Oreochromis niloticus: one gene and its partner. The protein of the gene in region 1 binds, or shares a complex with, the protein of each later gene. Links are inferred from orthologs where the notes say so. Each region holds a gene or a part of one and is shown on either strand. Other genes may lie near its edges.

Region 1 (7,959 bases):
GCTTCATTGAAGAACTTCACAGTCGCAAGATCCACAATGCCATTACGCTCCATCCCAACAAAAGTCCTGCCTACCAGTACCGGCTCCACAACTTCATGCTCAGCTGTGAGATTTCAAGGCTCCGTTACCGCACAATCCTACTCCACCGTGAAGGCCTACATATGAGTTATCTTAGTGATACAGAAATACTGTGGGAGGACCAACAGCTGGGTTCGCCACCTTCCTACATGCGCTATGTGCCCAGTGAGAGAAATGATGTCACTGAGTGGGATTTCCTGACAGGCCAACATATTTATTCTGCCGTTGAAAACAAGATGGCTAGGCAAAGCCTTGGAAAATTGCTTCGCACTGCCCTTGAAGACAATATTATACTAGAGGTCATGGAAATGATTAATGAAAATTCAAAGACACGTGGCCATGTAATTGACTTTAAAGAGATTCAGTATGGCTACTACAGGGTGGATCCAATACATGGTGCGGAATACATCTTAGACTTGTTGCTTCTGTACAAAAAACACAAGGGACGTAAAATAACTCTGCCTGTGAGGCGGCACGCTTACCTTCAACAGTCCTTCAGCCGGCCTTTCTTTAGTGAAGCTGAAGATCTAAATGTGTCAGAACTTATGGCTGCCATCAACTCTGAATCCCAATCCCTGTCATTCCTATCCAACTCTCTGAAGTTTTTGTCACCTTTCCAGTTCTATGAGTCAACAAGAGAAATGTGGGAGCAAAGCCAGAAAAAGATCAGCATTCTTGTCCCACTGTCTGGTCGCTATGGCACTTTTATTCGGTTTATGGAGAACTTTGAGAAAGTGTGTTTGATACCTAAACAAAATGTTCAGCTCTGCATCATTCTGGTGGACAATGTAAACAATAAGAATATAAAAAAGCATATTCATTTAATAATGGACTATAAGAGAAAGTATCCTAAAGCTGAAATGTCTTTAATCCCCATGACAGGAAATTTCTCACGAGGGCTGGCTCTAGAGCTGGGTTCATCACAGCTTGATAATGACACTTTACTGTTCCTCTGCGATGTTGATCTAATCTTTAGTGGTGATGCTCTGCAGCGCTGCAGAGATAATGCTATTCAAGGGAGACAGGTCTATTTTCCTGTTATCTTTAGCCAATACAGCCCTAAGATTGTGTATGGTGAAAAAGCCTCAAGTGAAAACAACTTTGTGCTCACCAAGAAAAGTGGCTTTTGGCGTGATTATGGCTTTGGAACCACCTGTGTTTTTAAGAGCGATTTACTAAAAGCTGGAGGTTTTGATACATCAATCCTAGGCTGGGGGTTAGAAGATGTAGACTTCTTCACCAAAGTTATTAATTCTGGTTTAAAGGTTTTACGCAGTCAAGAACCAGGAATTGTCCACATTTATCATCCTGTCAATTGCAATTCAAGCCTTGAACAGAAGCAATACAAAATGTGTCTTGGGTCAAGAGCAAGTGCATTTGCATCAGCTGTGCAGTTAGCAGAGATGTGGCTTGAGAAACACATAGAGGTAGGCTATAACAGAACTTCATCCTGATACCCCGACCTTCCAGGACTCCTCTACTTTCTGTTCTGCTTGAACGCAGATAGCTATGCACTGTGGCACCCAAGGCAGTCATGTCTCTAAAACTGAGTGTACTCTAACCAATGAAATGGTACTAGACACAGCTTAACCAGCAGGAGATAGACCAATGTTAAAGACACCAAAAGGAGATAGAACAGATCTGCACCCAATTTAGTGCAGAAGCAAGGCCAACTATCTGCTTCTTTACTTTCTTCTAAACCAGCTGGAAAATTGGTAAGAATGAGAAAAAGAAATATTTGGTATATGTAATAGCTAAATGTAGCTGATTGTTATTTTGTACAGTTATGCATCACTCTCTACTAGTCTCCTTTTTATACCGGCATAAATGAACTACTTGTTAATCTGGGTAAATTGAGGAATTATTTAAATGGCCGAAAGAACAAGTTGAATTATCCAAAATACTTGGCAATTAAAAAGTACTGTCAGGCAATGAAATCAACAGAAATTATTAATATGGTAAGTGAGATTTGTGAATGCTGGAAGTTATTCATAGAGTGATGTTTTACTTTGCTACAAGTTTGTGTCTGTAGCATAATTGTTGCCTACAACAATTATGTTGCCTACAACTCAGTGATTCAGTGAATTAGATACTTTGTTGCTTCTCTCCATAAGTTCTCATTGAGCAGCATGGTGTGCTGTGCTAAACAATCTGTATGTATGTGTAGGTGAGGGATTTGGTCCTGCTGTATTGATCTAAGCTAATCTACCTTAATCTCCCACTGCAGTTTAGAAATCATCTCGTGCAGATCTGAAGCTGAGCCTGTGTAGTTACCGTCTGTCCACATTTCTTGTATGCTTCTGTTCTAGAAATAAGTCCTGCTCAGCTGTCTTATTTCCAGTCTCAAGTCTAACTATAACCTGTTTGCTTTCATTAATTTTAGAGTATCATAATTCAGCAGCTTCACTGCCATCATTTTTACTCAATCAAAACCTAGGAAGACACACTAAGACAGAACCTCATTCTCAGTTACCCAAGGTGCATACAATAAATGTAGACACAGCTGAAATCAAATACCAATGAAAAAAGATATTATAGCTTTATCAATTAAAAATTATTGTAAACACCACTCAGTGTTGCACGTTATGTGCGTTTATGTACAATTGTGCCTTTCACTCTGCCGTCCCAGCAGCTTTCCAGTTGTTGCCACCTCCAAGTCCCAGTATCACTGAAATAGGGAGAGAGTGATTAACGAATTGATCTCAGCTGGCCTGCCAGCCTCCCTGGCACTACCCCCCTGAACCTCCATCCCACTAATATTTTTACATTATAACTAAATAAATAAAAATTTCTGTGATTAAACCAAAGGTAAAGGTACACGCTGCATCTAAAGGCTTGAAAGTGGAATGCACTACCTACCAATAAATAAAATACTCCGTTAAAGGCAGGATAACCGCTTTCACAATACTTTCTTATTCATGTGCAAAAGAAAATTTTTTTCTGCAAAACAAATCAAAAACATCTAACAATTTCAGTCACAGCATTTATAAGCTTTGATAATTATGTGTTATTATGCACTTTAAGTTTGCCATGCAGCCAGATGGCTAATGTAGGTATTGTTTTATTAATTGCAATTCAAAACAGACATTTTAACTTTTGTACAGTTTAAGATCAATTTCAGCAAGTTTATGGCTCTCTGTAACTCTAGAACTGATATAAGCAGTAGTATTTATTATAAAAATGAGATTTGATTGTAAAATATAAGCAAATGTCTAAATCTTGTGTTTAGACTGAAGTCCTGTTTCTGAATTGAATATAGGCTTTCTTCCCTGACTGATTAAGCAATGATCTGGTGACCTTTAAAATCCTTTAGACATTTGAGGTAAATCTAGTAAAGGGTTGGTTGAAAATTCCATTTTTAATTATTTCATGTTGATTTAATGATGTTCATATGGAAATGCAAAGATTGAATGCTGTTAATTTAGCTGGCTCTGAAAAATCTTTATTATTTTATTGACTATTTTTATTGTAATTATGCTTAGTGTAAATGATTGTCTTTTAATTCTTAATAGAAGATGTGTGATTATCCTTTATTGATTCTATTTTTATTTTTGTTGTTGTTAAATGTAACTACAGGAGTCATTAGGACAGACTCTTGAAAAGCTAAAATTAAACACAAATGAAAAATGAATCAACTTTTCAATCTTCAAGAAAGTGATCTGGAACCAACTGAAGTTTGAGGGTCATTCTATTTCCTTCCTTTGCTCACCACAAAATTTAGTTTAACTTGCTAGTTTTTGCAGTCTCAAAAGAGTGCCCCAAAAGGCTCTGCCTGAACTTTTGCACTGGTGGCAAAACAAAGCTCTCCACCAGATGTCACAGCTCCACACAGTTGGTTATTGAAGCTTGAAGTTGGTGAGTTCTTGGCCAAGCCTTTTGATTGGTTGACTGATTATGCAGCACTTTCTGGTATGAATATTTTGAGCCACCCCTGTTCCTGTCAGTTCAGGCAGACCTCTAGCACCTGTAATAGAGCTATTTTACGCTGACCTCTTTCAAGCGTGGGATGTTCTTCTGATGGTGCATTCTGATAATGCTGCAGTTTCTCTTTGTATGTTTTATTTGTTTTTTGCCACAGAAAATTGTTGGGCTAAATAAAGGGTGCTTTGTTAGCCACGAGCCATTTTACATGAATTTGTATCTACAATCAATCACAGAGGTAATACTGTATGTCATTACTGCGTCTGGACTAAAACAAATCATGGTTTCTGACCCAAATTTAGTTTGTTGGAATGTTTTTGTCTTTGTTTTTGTTTTTTGTTTTTTTCAAATCCTGTGTCAAAGCACTCCTTGTAAAAACCGGCCTTCACTAAATTTCACTTTTGTTCTTTGACAATTTGTTTCAGTACAGTCAGTCAGTTTCGAGTATTAAATTCATTAATCACACTAATGCTTTATGTAGTTATTCATTTGAATTAAATTTAATCATTGAGTCACCTTTGTGATATTAGTTTTCAGTTTTCAGCTATATTTGTCATATGCAAGTTAGCACAGGGTCAACATTGCAATGAAATGTGTTAGGCGAGCAGAAGACGAGTCTCTCAGCAGTATAGTACAATATAGGACTATAAGTTAAAATTATAATGCAATATAACACTAAAATTACAGTTCCAAGAAATAAAAGAGAAAATAGAAATGTATTGATGGAGCACCTTACCTCAATATTCATGTATTGAGGTGGGGTGGGACAACGTGACTGCACATGAGATAAAGTGGCAAGAGTGAGCAGCAGTGCAAATTTTTAGAGCAGTACAAGATTTAAAGTGGCATTTAGCACAGTATTGCATAGAGTAAGAGTTTTTATTTTTTTTATTTTATTATAAATATTATCTATCTATCTATCTATTATAAAAATAAAGTCATGGGGATTTTTGCGTGAGATAAGGACAGTAGCAGTGGTGCGTGACGTAATAGGGGTGTGGCATGATTGCGAGTGACGTTTCAGGAAGTCAAACATGGCGACCGGACAGCAATGGGTGTTGGTGGAAATGGTCCAGGCGTTTTATGAGGTAAGTGTTTCTTTTCCTCAGTTGTTGGGCCGAATTATTCCCTGACGTTTACTCGATTTTTCTTATGCTTGGCTACACGTTAGTGCTGTTAAATTTGTCCCAGGTTGTTAACTGTTAAGTTCTCGGTTGCGACCCGATGAAAGGCTCAGCCCGTAGTTGTTCAGCGAAGAGGCAACTCATCAAGGAAGTATGTAGTAGCTAGCTACTACTTGCACATTAGGTGAGCTACAGCGCTGGAGTTAAGTTTCTAAATGCACATAACACGATAGAGCTGCTACGACAAGAGCTTCAAACTGTGCTGAAGACGTTAGGCTAACTGTTGTAGCTTTTGTTTATCAGTGCTATGATTGGCTGTTTTATTATTAATAATATTATTATTGTTGTTATTATTATTGTTAGAATTACTCTTGTGGTCTGACTGTAGATTTCTGTCTTCCTTCACATGTTTTTGGTTAGTGATCGGGGAAACTTCTCAAAGTGATCAGCTATGTGTGTGTGTAGAGCGCGTCTCTTCCGTCATTTCGTAGGGCACTGTCATGATGGAATGAAGTAGGAGCATACTTTATCTTGGATATCTCTTCAACTATTCACAAGTGTCCATGTTAAATTTTTAAGCAATGACAAGTAGAACAGTCATTAGTGCTGTCACTTCAAAGGTAGGCTCTGGGTTTGAATCAAGAGAGCCAGCTGGGGCCTTTCTGCAGGAGTTTGCATGGTCGTGTGGGGTGGCTGTAGCTCAGGAGGTAGAGCAGGTCACTTACTAATCAGAAGGTTGCCCCAGTCTGCATGCCAAGTATCCTTGGGCAAATACTAACCCCAAGTTGCTTTGAGTGTGTGAATGCTTATAGATAGAAAGCACTTAAATCATAGAAGAAAGTGCTTGTGCGAATGGGTGAATGTGACATGTTGTATAAAGCACTTTGAGTGGCCAGAATCAGTCCATCCATTTACCACTTGTGCCTGTGTGGTTTCTTTTTAGGCACTCCAGCTTCCTCCCACAAAGACATGCAAGCTACATTAATTGTTGATTTTAAATTGGCTGTATTTGTGAATGGTTGCCTCTTTCTTCCTTTATGTCAATTAGGCTCTAGATGCCCAATCCAGGCAGTTAGAAAAATGTTGACTTTTCTTGGACATGTTTTAGCAAGTATCCTCATCCTCAGTTTATCACATCTTCATATCATTAATTTTCTGTTATGATGGTGTGGAGGTTAATAATGAATGTTAATAATAATTCAGTGTCCAACATAAGAGCCTCAGTTCAACTGGCCTATGTACGTTTATATTGCCCTGCAAAAAACATTTTTATATTTTTAAATAATAATGCAGTTTTATGATCATTTGATTTGATTTCACTTTAAATCTGATAAATAATGTTGAAATATCAAAGCCTTGAAATATGGTCTAGTACACCTCACGCCCCCCTTTAGACTCCCCCCTGCATGCTGCAGGTATCACTGCGATAGAAAGTGGGACGGCTGCCATCAGCCTTCAGCAGGCTGCCTAATTTAAACATGGGTCAGACTAAGTTAACAGTTCATCTGCATATTTTAATGTAATTTCTGCAGCTTTACTGTTTCTCGCTGTAGAGAATCTGCAGATAAAGCAAACGGTGGTGGATGGAGAAGCTACAAATTTCACTTTTCTTCATGTAAGAGTTTGCTGATCAGGTGCTTTCATTAAGGGCCAAAACCTTCTTCCCAGTAAAGGTTTTAATGGTAATTACAGGAACAGCACTGCTGTTTTGAACACTAGAAAAACGTTTTATTTCACTCTACCTGACTTTACTGTCTCAATAATGGTTCCACCTCTTTGCTCAACATCCATGTGTAGACAGACTCCACGTTAAACTATAAAATTATGCTGCGTAGGCTTAATGTCATCATACTACTTAGTCACATGCTTGTTCTTAGATATGTTCCTATTGCAAGTCTATTTTCAGTCACAAATTGGGGTGAAAAGCTCATGTTTACATGGTAACAACTGCACACTACACTGCCGTGTGTTAAACGAAACATTGGAGCAAAACATTTGTGTTGAGGATTTTTTATAATTGAGTTATTTTAATTGTTGGAGCCCTAGTAGAAATGCAGCAGTATGCTTTGGACTTCACTGTTGTTTTAGCTGATTGTGTTCTTCTTAATTTTTGTAACCTCGCATGTTGGTGCAGCCAGCATGATTGGGTTGAAGACATGAGTGTTCAACTGTGTTTTGTTTTTACTGCCATTTCAATTATCTTCCTCTTTTTCCTCCTCCTCCTAGTCAGTATCCTACTCTGTCACACTAATCCCTTACATGTCCTCTTTTACTGCATCAAAAAGTATTGGGCCAACTACATTTATAAGAGGTGTTTGGCCGTGGAAATACATGCCATGAAGTTCCTGATGCACAGTCCATGTGCTAAGAGGAGGTTTGGAATGCTCAACTTTTACAAGTGGTGTGCCTTAGCACTTAACACAATCACTCTAGAACTTTACATGGTCTGCAACATCACAGCTAAATGTCTTCGGTTTATAAACATTACTACTCTGCACTAATACCAATTACAATTAATCATGGAATATTTCAGAGACAAGAAATTTCACAAACTTAATTATTACATCATATTACAGTACCATGCTCAAATTCAGTAAACCATTTAGAGCAACCCTTTCTTTTGTAAATGTTTGAAAAGGCCCATTGCTTGGCTACTTGCTTTTTATACACTTGCAGCAATGAACTGAAAACAGGAATTCAAAGATTTAGAGTTGGGATTTTATACAGCTATCCGATGGATGTATGAAGTTCTCTATAGCTTAGTTGTTTATGTTGCATTTAAATTTCATTCAGGCATTTCCAGTGTTTCTGAAATGTTTCCACTTATTTTAATTCT
Region 2 (7,896 bases), on another chromosome or scaffold:
TAGACAAGGGTGTCCAGGACAGAGGGACAGAAGAGGGCTATGTGCCAGAGACTTTGTTCACACAAGATGAAGAGTCAACAGCCTCCCCATCCCTCACCCCTCTTTAGCCATCCCCCCTAATAACCACCTTCTTCAGAGAAGCTGCAAACACAATGCTGTCCCACTCCCCTCCTCTTGCTCTCAATCACTGCTGGGACAATGAGGGGAACTCCCCCCCCCCAGCACCCTACCACCTTCACCATCCTTCTGCCTCTCCCCGACCCCCAAACAGACACTTCTTTTATTGAAATTCTTTGGTGTTCTAATCCTCCGCTTCCTCCAGGAGCAATAATGGACTCCCTGCGTCAGCCTTTTCCAGCGAGGCTATCATCCAAGCCTGCCTGGGTCACAAGTCCACCCCTCCTACTGGAGAAAATTACCCCGGCAGTGTCATTCCTGTCACAAGCAGCCCATCCACAGGCCATAAAACCCCAATACCACTGACCTTAAGAACATATCTGTATTTGTGGCTAGATATTTCTGTGTTTTCAGGTAAAGCATTGCTCCATGCGTTAATTAAAGGCGCGACACTGATTTGCCAAAATCCTTTCTCTGCAGTGCTTCCAGATTTTTATAATTCTTTTATTTTATTGTGCTTTTTTCACAGTCTCTATCAACCTTTTAACATTTGAACAATTTCCTTGTGGCTGCAATTCACTGAGATTCTGAACTCACGAGTTGGTAGATGTCTAGAAAGTGCTGGAAATACAAAATACTGGATGAACTAAAATGTAAACCCGCACATTTTCTCGAAGAAGTGATGAGTACAGATTATACTTTATATGTTGTGTAAAGCTCATACTTGCATTGCCTAGTCTTATAGTCTTGTTATCTTCATTTACTAAAGTGGAAACCTGGTCCTATGACATGAGTAATCATTAAGCAACGTGCATTTAGACAGGCATTTAAAAAGGCATTGAATTCATTATATATAAAAACTTCTTTTTAAACACCTAAGAAGAGGCTCATTACCTTCTAAGTTTCTTTGCTGCTCAGAACGACAGAAAAAAGCAGGACTTAATTATGATAATTAATAATTACACCTCATATTATATCACTATGCCTCCACAGTTGTGTCTTTAAGAGTAGAAGCATCACAGTCCAGACTCCAGGATGGCAGCAACCAGTTCAAAGTGTGTTGATGGTGACATCTGCTGGTCTTCTACAATCAGACGCTGCTGTTTATCTGCATATTGCAGTCTGATGAGTGAAATATACAGGTGCCAAATACTCACTAATCTTTATGGTATCAGTAGCAAGAGATGTACAAAAAATGACTTTTTCAAACCTTGTAGAAGCTTTTTTTAAACGGACCAAACTGACTGTGTATTCTTTGACTGATTTAGCTTAAACTGCGATATTATAACATTATATGGCACAATATACTAAAGAATGCAACTTGTAGGCCCTTTGAGTTTGATTTTTTGCCACATCACAGAATATATAACTGCTTACAATTTTTCATTCCTGATTTTATGACTAATGTAAGCTACACTAGTTTCATTTTGAAAAGGTTATGATTTTTTTCAAATTACAGAGCAATATTTGGACTTGAAACAATGTAGAAAAAACAAAGAAGCATTCAACTAATTGTTTAAACTATGCTATAACACATGATTTACATGAACTGTTTAGTAACAGAATTTCAAGGCAGACAACAACAAATATATATGGTAAACTTCCTGGGTACAGATTTTTTTCCTGTCCCATTTTTTAGTTAAAATGTTCTTCCCAGAATACATGCACATGAGCTACAGTAATGTCTGTAAACTTATGGATGATAATTGGATACAGATTTATGCCTTGAAGAAAATATTCCTGGCTAAAACCATGCAAAGAATTTACAGTTGATTCGCATCTTAAGGGAGACATGGAAATATGAAATGCATCTCATCATTAAAAGCTCTTGTTGCTGGCATGCATCCTATTAATGGAATCGCATTACATCTGAAAGACTTAGCTAAATGAGCCGTAGGCAAAACCCTAAGAGTAGAGAAGTGGAGTTTACAGAGGAATATGTCTAAACATCTGTTAGATTTATAGCTGTGGAGAAATGAATGCAACCGCATGACACCGAAGCTTTGATCTATCATCATCAGTGGTAACTAAAGTTGTAAGACAACTATTAAATGGCACTCTGGACTAAACCAACAGCTAATGATTTAAAATGGCATTTTAACATATAACAAAACCTGTTTTTCTTAATTACATTTTGGTATTAAGGTTTACCCGCACCATCATTTACACGAGTGTGTGTTACTGAAATCACTGAAATACTCATCTCTTGATGTCAAACGTGCCCAGATGAGTACTTTCATTATCCCCCTCCTCCTTATATGTATTTTATCAGTGTCATGTACTTGGTCATTGTTCCAGTGCCAGAGATGATCTCACAGCACTGACATGCATAGTTCTCATTTGAGCAGAGCTCTAGGTTTACATATCTGACACAACTATAACTCCCAAGGCTATGAGCACACGAGACAGTCCACTGTCAGACGGCTAAACCCGTTTGATGCCACTCATCACAGGGGTACCCTTGGATACAGTAGGTGTCACATAACATTTCATGCAAGCAGAGGACTGATGACCCCCTTGGCTTCAGGCTACTGTGGGCCAAAGTTAGTATATGGGTTTATCTTGGGATCTAGAACACGACACTGTTGATCTTTTGATTTTGAAACCACAGTATGATCCCGTTAGACATTTACTGTTGCCTCTAGCAAGGTCTCCTCTCATCTTGGCTACATGAAGAATCGAGAGCTTTCTTTTATGTGTGTGTATAAAAATTTTGCTACTCACCATTTTGGAATTTTTAGCAGCTGTGAGAGCGTGGCTGATACTGTTTTAACTTGTGACTCCTTGTGTGTTACTGTGGCAAAATGCTAGCCTGTTGAAACCTAATGTAGTGTCTGTGGAGACTCACTGTCATTGGGATTTTATCAGAATATTCACTTTAATTCAGTTTTATTTATCTAGCACCAAATCATAACAACATTTGCCTCAAGATTCTTTATATTGTAAGGTAAAGACCCTACAATAATACAGAAAAAACAGCGAAAACCCCAATATTAAGATGACCTGCTTTGGGGAAACGCTTTGGCGACAGCGGGAAGGAAAAACTCCCTTTTAACAGGAAGAAAACTCCAGCAGAACCAGGCTCAGGGAGGAGCAGCCATCTATTGTGACCAGCTGGGGGTGAGGGGAGGAAGACAGGACAAAGAAACACTATGGAAGAGAGCCAGAGATATAAAGAAAAATAACTAATAAACAGCAGAGGATGAATGTATGGATTCATTGGTAACTTGTGATGTACTAATATATTTCAAGAACTGTCTAAAGACCAATTTCTGTAGCAACTGGAGTGAATCCATTGCTGGATGATCTCTAGATAATTTTGTGTTTAATCTCTCTGTTCCATCATATATTTATAAAATGTTTGTTTTTCTAAAAAAAACAGCCCTTCAACAGCTTCTCCAACTTAGGGCTGTGGGGGGCTAGACTCTTACTCTGCTGATATGGGGGGAAAGTATGGTGACCTGCAATATTTTTTGTCCTTTGTCACATCCTGTAATTGTGACAGTGTCTAACATTTTGATTTAGTCTAGTTTTCCAAGGCACTGCTATCCAGTGGTTATGAACAAAGACCATCATCATAAATCATGTGCATGTTATCATCACACTCTCTTGCTGCCTTGGCTACAGTATGCCAAACAGGGGAAAACAAACAGAGGAAGTCACCAAGTCTAAAGCTTTGCAGATTTCAGTGGAATATGATGGAAAATACCTTAAAGACAAGCAAATGCAGCAACAATAAAGACTATGAAGCTACTTATAACAGGATGACACTGGTGGAATTTTTTGCCTTTATTCTTGTAATTTTGACATTTCACATGGTGGTGAATAGCGACATGAAGTGAAACAGTGCATGTCAGTCTCACAAAGCTCCTGGGGCTAAAAACAAGAAGTGAAATGCAAATCTCAGTATGTTAGCTGGCTACTTTTAGCTGCTCCTTTATTCACAAGGGGATGCCACTGCACGACACATCAAATATGGTGCCAGATTGACAGATTTTTACAGCAGATGACCTTCCCGCCACAACTCCTAAGGGATATGTATCTCCTCACTGGATCAAACTAGGCATACTTCCTTGTTAGGGGAATGTGGAAACAACTAAATGATGGAGCCAATGGCCAAACTAAGGTTGTGTTCCTACTGAAAGCCAAAGACTATTACCAGACAGAACATTAACTTAAGGTTTCTACATTTATTGATAGAAGGTGTGTTAGAAGATGATGAAACAAACCTTTTATGTTTATTGAATTTGCCTAAATTTACTCAGGGAACTGGGAAAGTAGCATTTGACTAAAATGCCATATTGTTTGTCCCCAATGTGCTAAATTCCAGGTCAATTCAGCACTAACGTCAGCATCTGGGCACCTTAAAGGTGCTGTTATAAACGGATTTAGTATTATATACCCAACTGTAAGGCAATTATTTTATTAATAATACAATAGTAAAATTATTTTATATATATATATTTTAGTTTTTTGTCATCAGAACTAAGACGTTTTTATTTATTTATTTATTTAGATAGTTATTTTTGTTTGTTTAAAAATAAAAATATAAGCAATTTAATTGTATAAACTATACTTCCTCGTTTTTAAAATCAGGATTCTTGTTATTAAACGTAGCCTATAAGTGCCAATCACTTTTCCCTGAGCTCCTCCTCTGCCCTGACGTCAGGGAGACGTAGCTACGTGTTTTCAGCGCACTACGCTGTGATTGGCTAAATAAGCTCACGTGACTTGAACACAGCGTATCACTGAAAATTGCGAGGAGCAAAAAAACTCCTCTGAAACGTGTGCCGTGAGAGAGCGACGATGACGTAACACCGTGGACCGTGCTGTGTTGTCACCAGCTGTTGGCTAAAAGAAGACGAAAGAAAAGTGGACGCGTCTCGATGGATTGCGTGTTCACGAGGGGACCGTAGGGCTTACAGCCACGTTCGGAACTGAAGGAGGGGAACCGGGCGACTAATGGAAGCCCCGCAGACTCGTCAGCCGCGCAGGGATAGTATTAGTTACATAACTGAAGCCATCGATAACGGAAAAACTGTGATAACGGAGTAGTGCCCGTAAAGGTCGGAGTTGAAGCCATTTTTCTCTGCAGTAAGTGCAATGATTTCATTAATTAACCCAACGCATTTGAACTTTTCTTGTTTTTTGCTGTTTTTGCTTTCATGCTTCACTTCAAGATCTTTTTAAGGATCAATTGTCTCCAGTGATGTTTCCAGACAACTTGCAAAAGAGCATGCTGGAATGATCAGCGCTTGCGACATTGTTTACTCTAGTCAATCAGTTGCTACTGAACCAGCAGACACCAGCTTGCTCAGCAGTTTTTATTCACGCACAAGGCTACTTCTTAAAATGTGTAAATCTCATTTGATCATATTTCAATGTTTTCTCCATTTATACCACGGCAACAGGCATCTGATTGGCTTGCAGATGTCAGGTTAAAGCCATCATATAACCCACTGTTGCTTTATTGCAATACATAGTAATACATGAAAGTCATTATTTCCTTTATGCAGTTTCATTTAAGGGCAACCAAGCTACATGATTCATTTTCTTTTAGTTGAGTTCACTACAGGTGTCTGTATAACCCTTTAAATATTACCGCTTACCATTAGAGGTTGTAGATAGTCAGAAGGTAACATCTTTGGTTTTTGTTTCAGGAGACCGTTACACAAGTCTTACCGCCGCCATCATGAACGTGGGAACAGCACACAGTGAGGTTAACCCCAACACCCGAGTGATGAACAGCCGGGGTATGTGGCTGTCTTACATCCTGGGCATCGGCCTCCTTCATATCATCCTGCTGAGCATCCCCTTTGCCAGTGTGCCCGTGGTCTGGACCCTCACCAACCTCATCCATAATCTGGTTAGTGGTGTAGTGGTGTCCCTCAAAGGACCAGCACAGCCACGGTTTGCCTTAACCTTTACTGACTAGGTCAAGTCAGGTCAAATCAAGTCGAGGGCACGTGCAGCAGAGTGAAGAGGTTTAGGATGTGGTGAATGAGAGTAAGTTGAGAGCTGAGTCAGAGACATAACTGCTTGCTGCTTCACTGCTCTTAGACATGCCTTTGGTTAATGAGGTGGTTCTTTAACAAGCTTCTTATTTTTTTTTTATTTTTTTTTTTCAAATTTTCATAGTTCCTTTTTTTGTCTTTTTCAAATTGGACAGGCCCACATTTCTTGAGAAGAGCGCAGTATTAACCACACCGTGATCCGGTTACACAAGTGAATTTGCTAGTTGAGGCATGGGCTGTTTCATCATGCAGCTTAAAAGTGTTCCTAATATTGAGAACACATCCGACTTTTACTTATGAGCTTTACAGCAGATTTAGATTTATTTTAAAAGAAGAAGAAGAGGAAGCCCTTAACTTAGTAAGTTAACTTCCTGGAAGATTTTGTACTGAACAAAGTTTGCACTTGTATTCACATATCGATAATCCACTAGTGTGGCAATCATGTGACAACAGTGTTCTGTTTTCCCCTTCTCTGTAGTGCATGTACCTGCTTCTTCATACAGTCAAAGGGACACCTTTCGAGACCCCTGATCAGGGCAAAGCTCGCCTCCTTACACACTGGGAGCAGATGGACTACGGTGTGCAGTTTACGGCTTCACGCAAGTTCCTCACCATCACACCTATTGTCCTGTAAGTTGCATTCCTCTGCTTTTTTGTTTAGTGCTGCTTTTTAAGGACCCCAAAAAACGCTAGAGGACAATATAATGGGACAACACCTGAAGCAAATATGTTAGGTCTAAGGAGAGTGTAGACAGGAAATGACAACCAGAGTAGGTCATCAGTTCTCTGACAAGGACATGATGTCTCACTACCTTGTCATCCATCAGCTATTTTGTGTGTGACAGGCCTAAAGCACAAGCAGCTCGCTATGAATGAACCTGTGTGTTTGTGGCTTAATCACAATGCCAGTACCTTTTATTCTGAGTGAACTTGCACACACTTATACCTCAGTGAAAAATGTATGCTGCATTATAAAATTGAGTGCTTACTATCCTTTGGCGTGAGTGTGGATTGATTAGCATACACACTGCTCCCTTATTAGCCAAGCCTGCACATTGAGAAGGGGCACAGTGTGTGCAGAAGTGCCGCTTGCTGCTTTCTTGGCCTTTTTCTGTCCTTATTAACCACCACAGTTCAGTTTACAGGAAGCACTCTGCTTCCCCAGGGTTTATTTGCCAGCTCAGCACGAACATTGTAGCGATAGCGCTTTTGCAGGTGTGGACTTTGTTTTTGCACTTATTTAAAGGGGCTCTTTGTCATTTTGTTTCGTAACCAGCGCCAGCAGGAAGAAGTGAGCGGTCAGTCTTTAGACTCCAGATGTAAAGGCTACACATCTGCTGAAATCTTCTGGGAGTGTTTTTGTACATGTCCTTACCTGTTCCGCTGAGAGCAGGAAATGCAATTCATCATTCTCACTTAACAAAAACCCCTTACTGCCACACCTAAAAGTGCGACTCATATTAAATCAGCATAGTTTTATTTATCCCAGCATCTCACCAGGATTAACACAACTCTGCAAACATACAGCCAGCACACAAGCCGAGTTTATATAGAACATGTATGTGGTTTTGGGGGGGCGGGGGTCTCAGGGGGCCATAATAAAAATAATAAAAAATCAATAAAATAAGTGTAGGATCACATGATGAAGAACTGTAAAATAAGATGCACACATTGCTGAATTCTGCTAAACTCTATAACAACATTTGTTTTTTACTTCTCATATTTTACTTTGGTTTCCTCTGAGGTTACAATAAGAAAAACTAGC

Evidence for each region. Proteins that work in one complex are often made in the same cells at the same time.
Region 2: the proteins of sptlc1 (region 1) and ormdl3 are in contact, whole or in part, in a cryo-EM structure (PDB 7K0N), measured with the Homo sapiens proteins. The link is inferred for Oreochromis niloticus from reciprocal best matches to the Homo sapiens genes SPTLC1 and ORMDL3. Residues at the interface, in NP_006406.1 of Homo sapiens: Ala16, Leu17, Ala20, Pro21, Tyr23, His24, Leu27, Glu28, Leu31, Ile32, Trp34, Ile35, Leu38, Leu39, Ser41, Lys42, Thr43, Tyr44, Lys45, Leu46, Gln47; in NP_001307730.1 of Homo sapiens: Gly92, Val93, Gln94, Phe95, Thr96, Ala97, Lys100, Thr103, Ile104, Ile107, Tyr110, Phe111, Ser114, Tyr119, Gln121, Phe124, Thr128, Leu131, Met132, Leu139, Pro140, His143.

What each region holds. Positions count from the first base shown.
Region 1 is NC_031972.2:8,069,013-8,076,971, reverse strand, and holds the start of sptlc1 (serine palmitoyltransferase 1), read left to right. Parts: upstream 1-4,954; 5' UTR 4,955-5,033; coding exon 5,034-5,087; intron 5,088-7,959. Other genes in the region: chondroitin sulfate synthase 3, read left to right, coding at 1-1,532. UniProt on the Homo sapiens protein: Component of the serine palmitoyltransferase multisubunit enzyme (SPT) that catalyzes the initial and rate-limiting step in sphingolipid biosynthesis by condensing L-serine and activated acyl-CoA (most commonly palmitoyl-CoA) to form long-chain bases.
Region 2 is NC_031973.2:5,869,826-5,877,721, forward strand, and holds the start of ormdl3 (ORM1-like protein 3), read left to right. Parts: upstream 1-4,891; 5' UTR 4,892-5,211; intron 5,212-5,777; 5' UTR 5,778-5,809; coding exon 5,810-5,983; intron 5,984-6,609; coding exon 6,610-6,761; intron 6,762-7,896. UniProt on the Homo sapiens protein: Plays an essential role in the homeostatic regulation of sphingolipid de novo biosynthesis by modulating the activity of the serine palmitoyltransferase (SPT) in response to ceramide levels.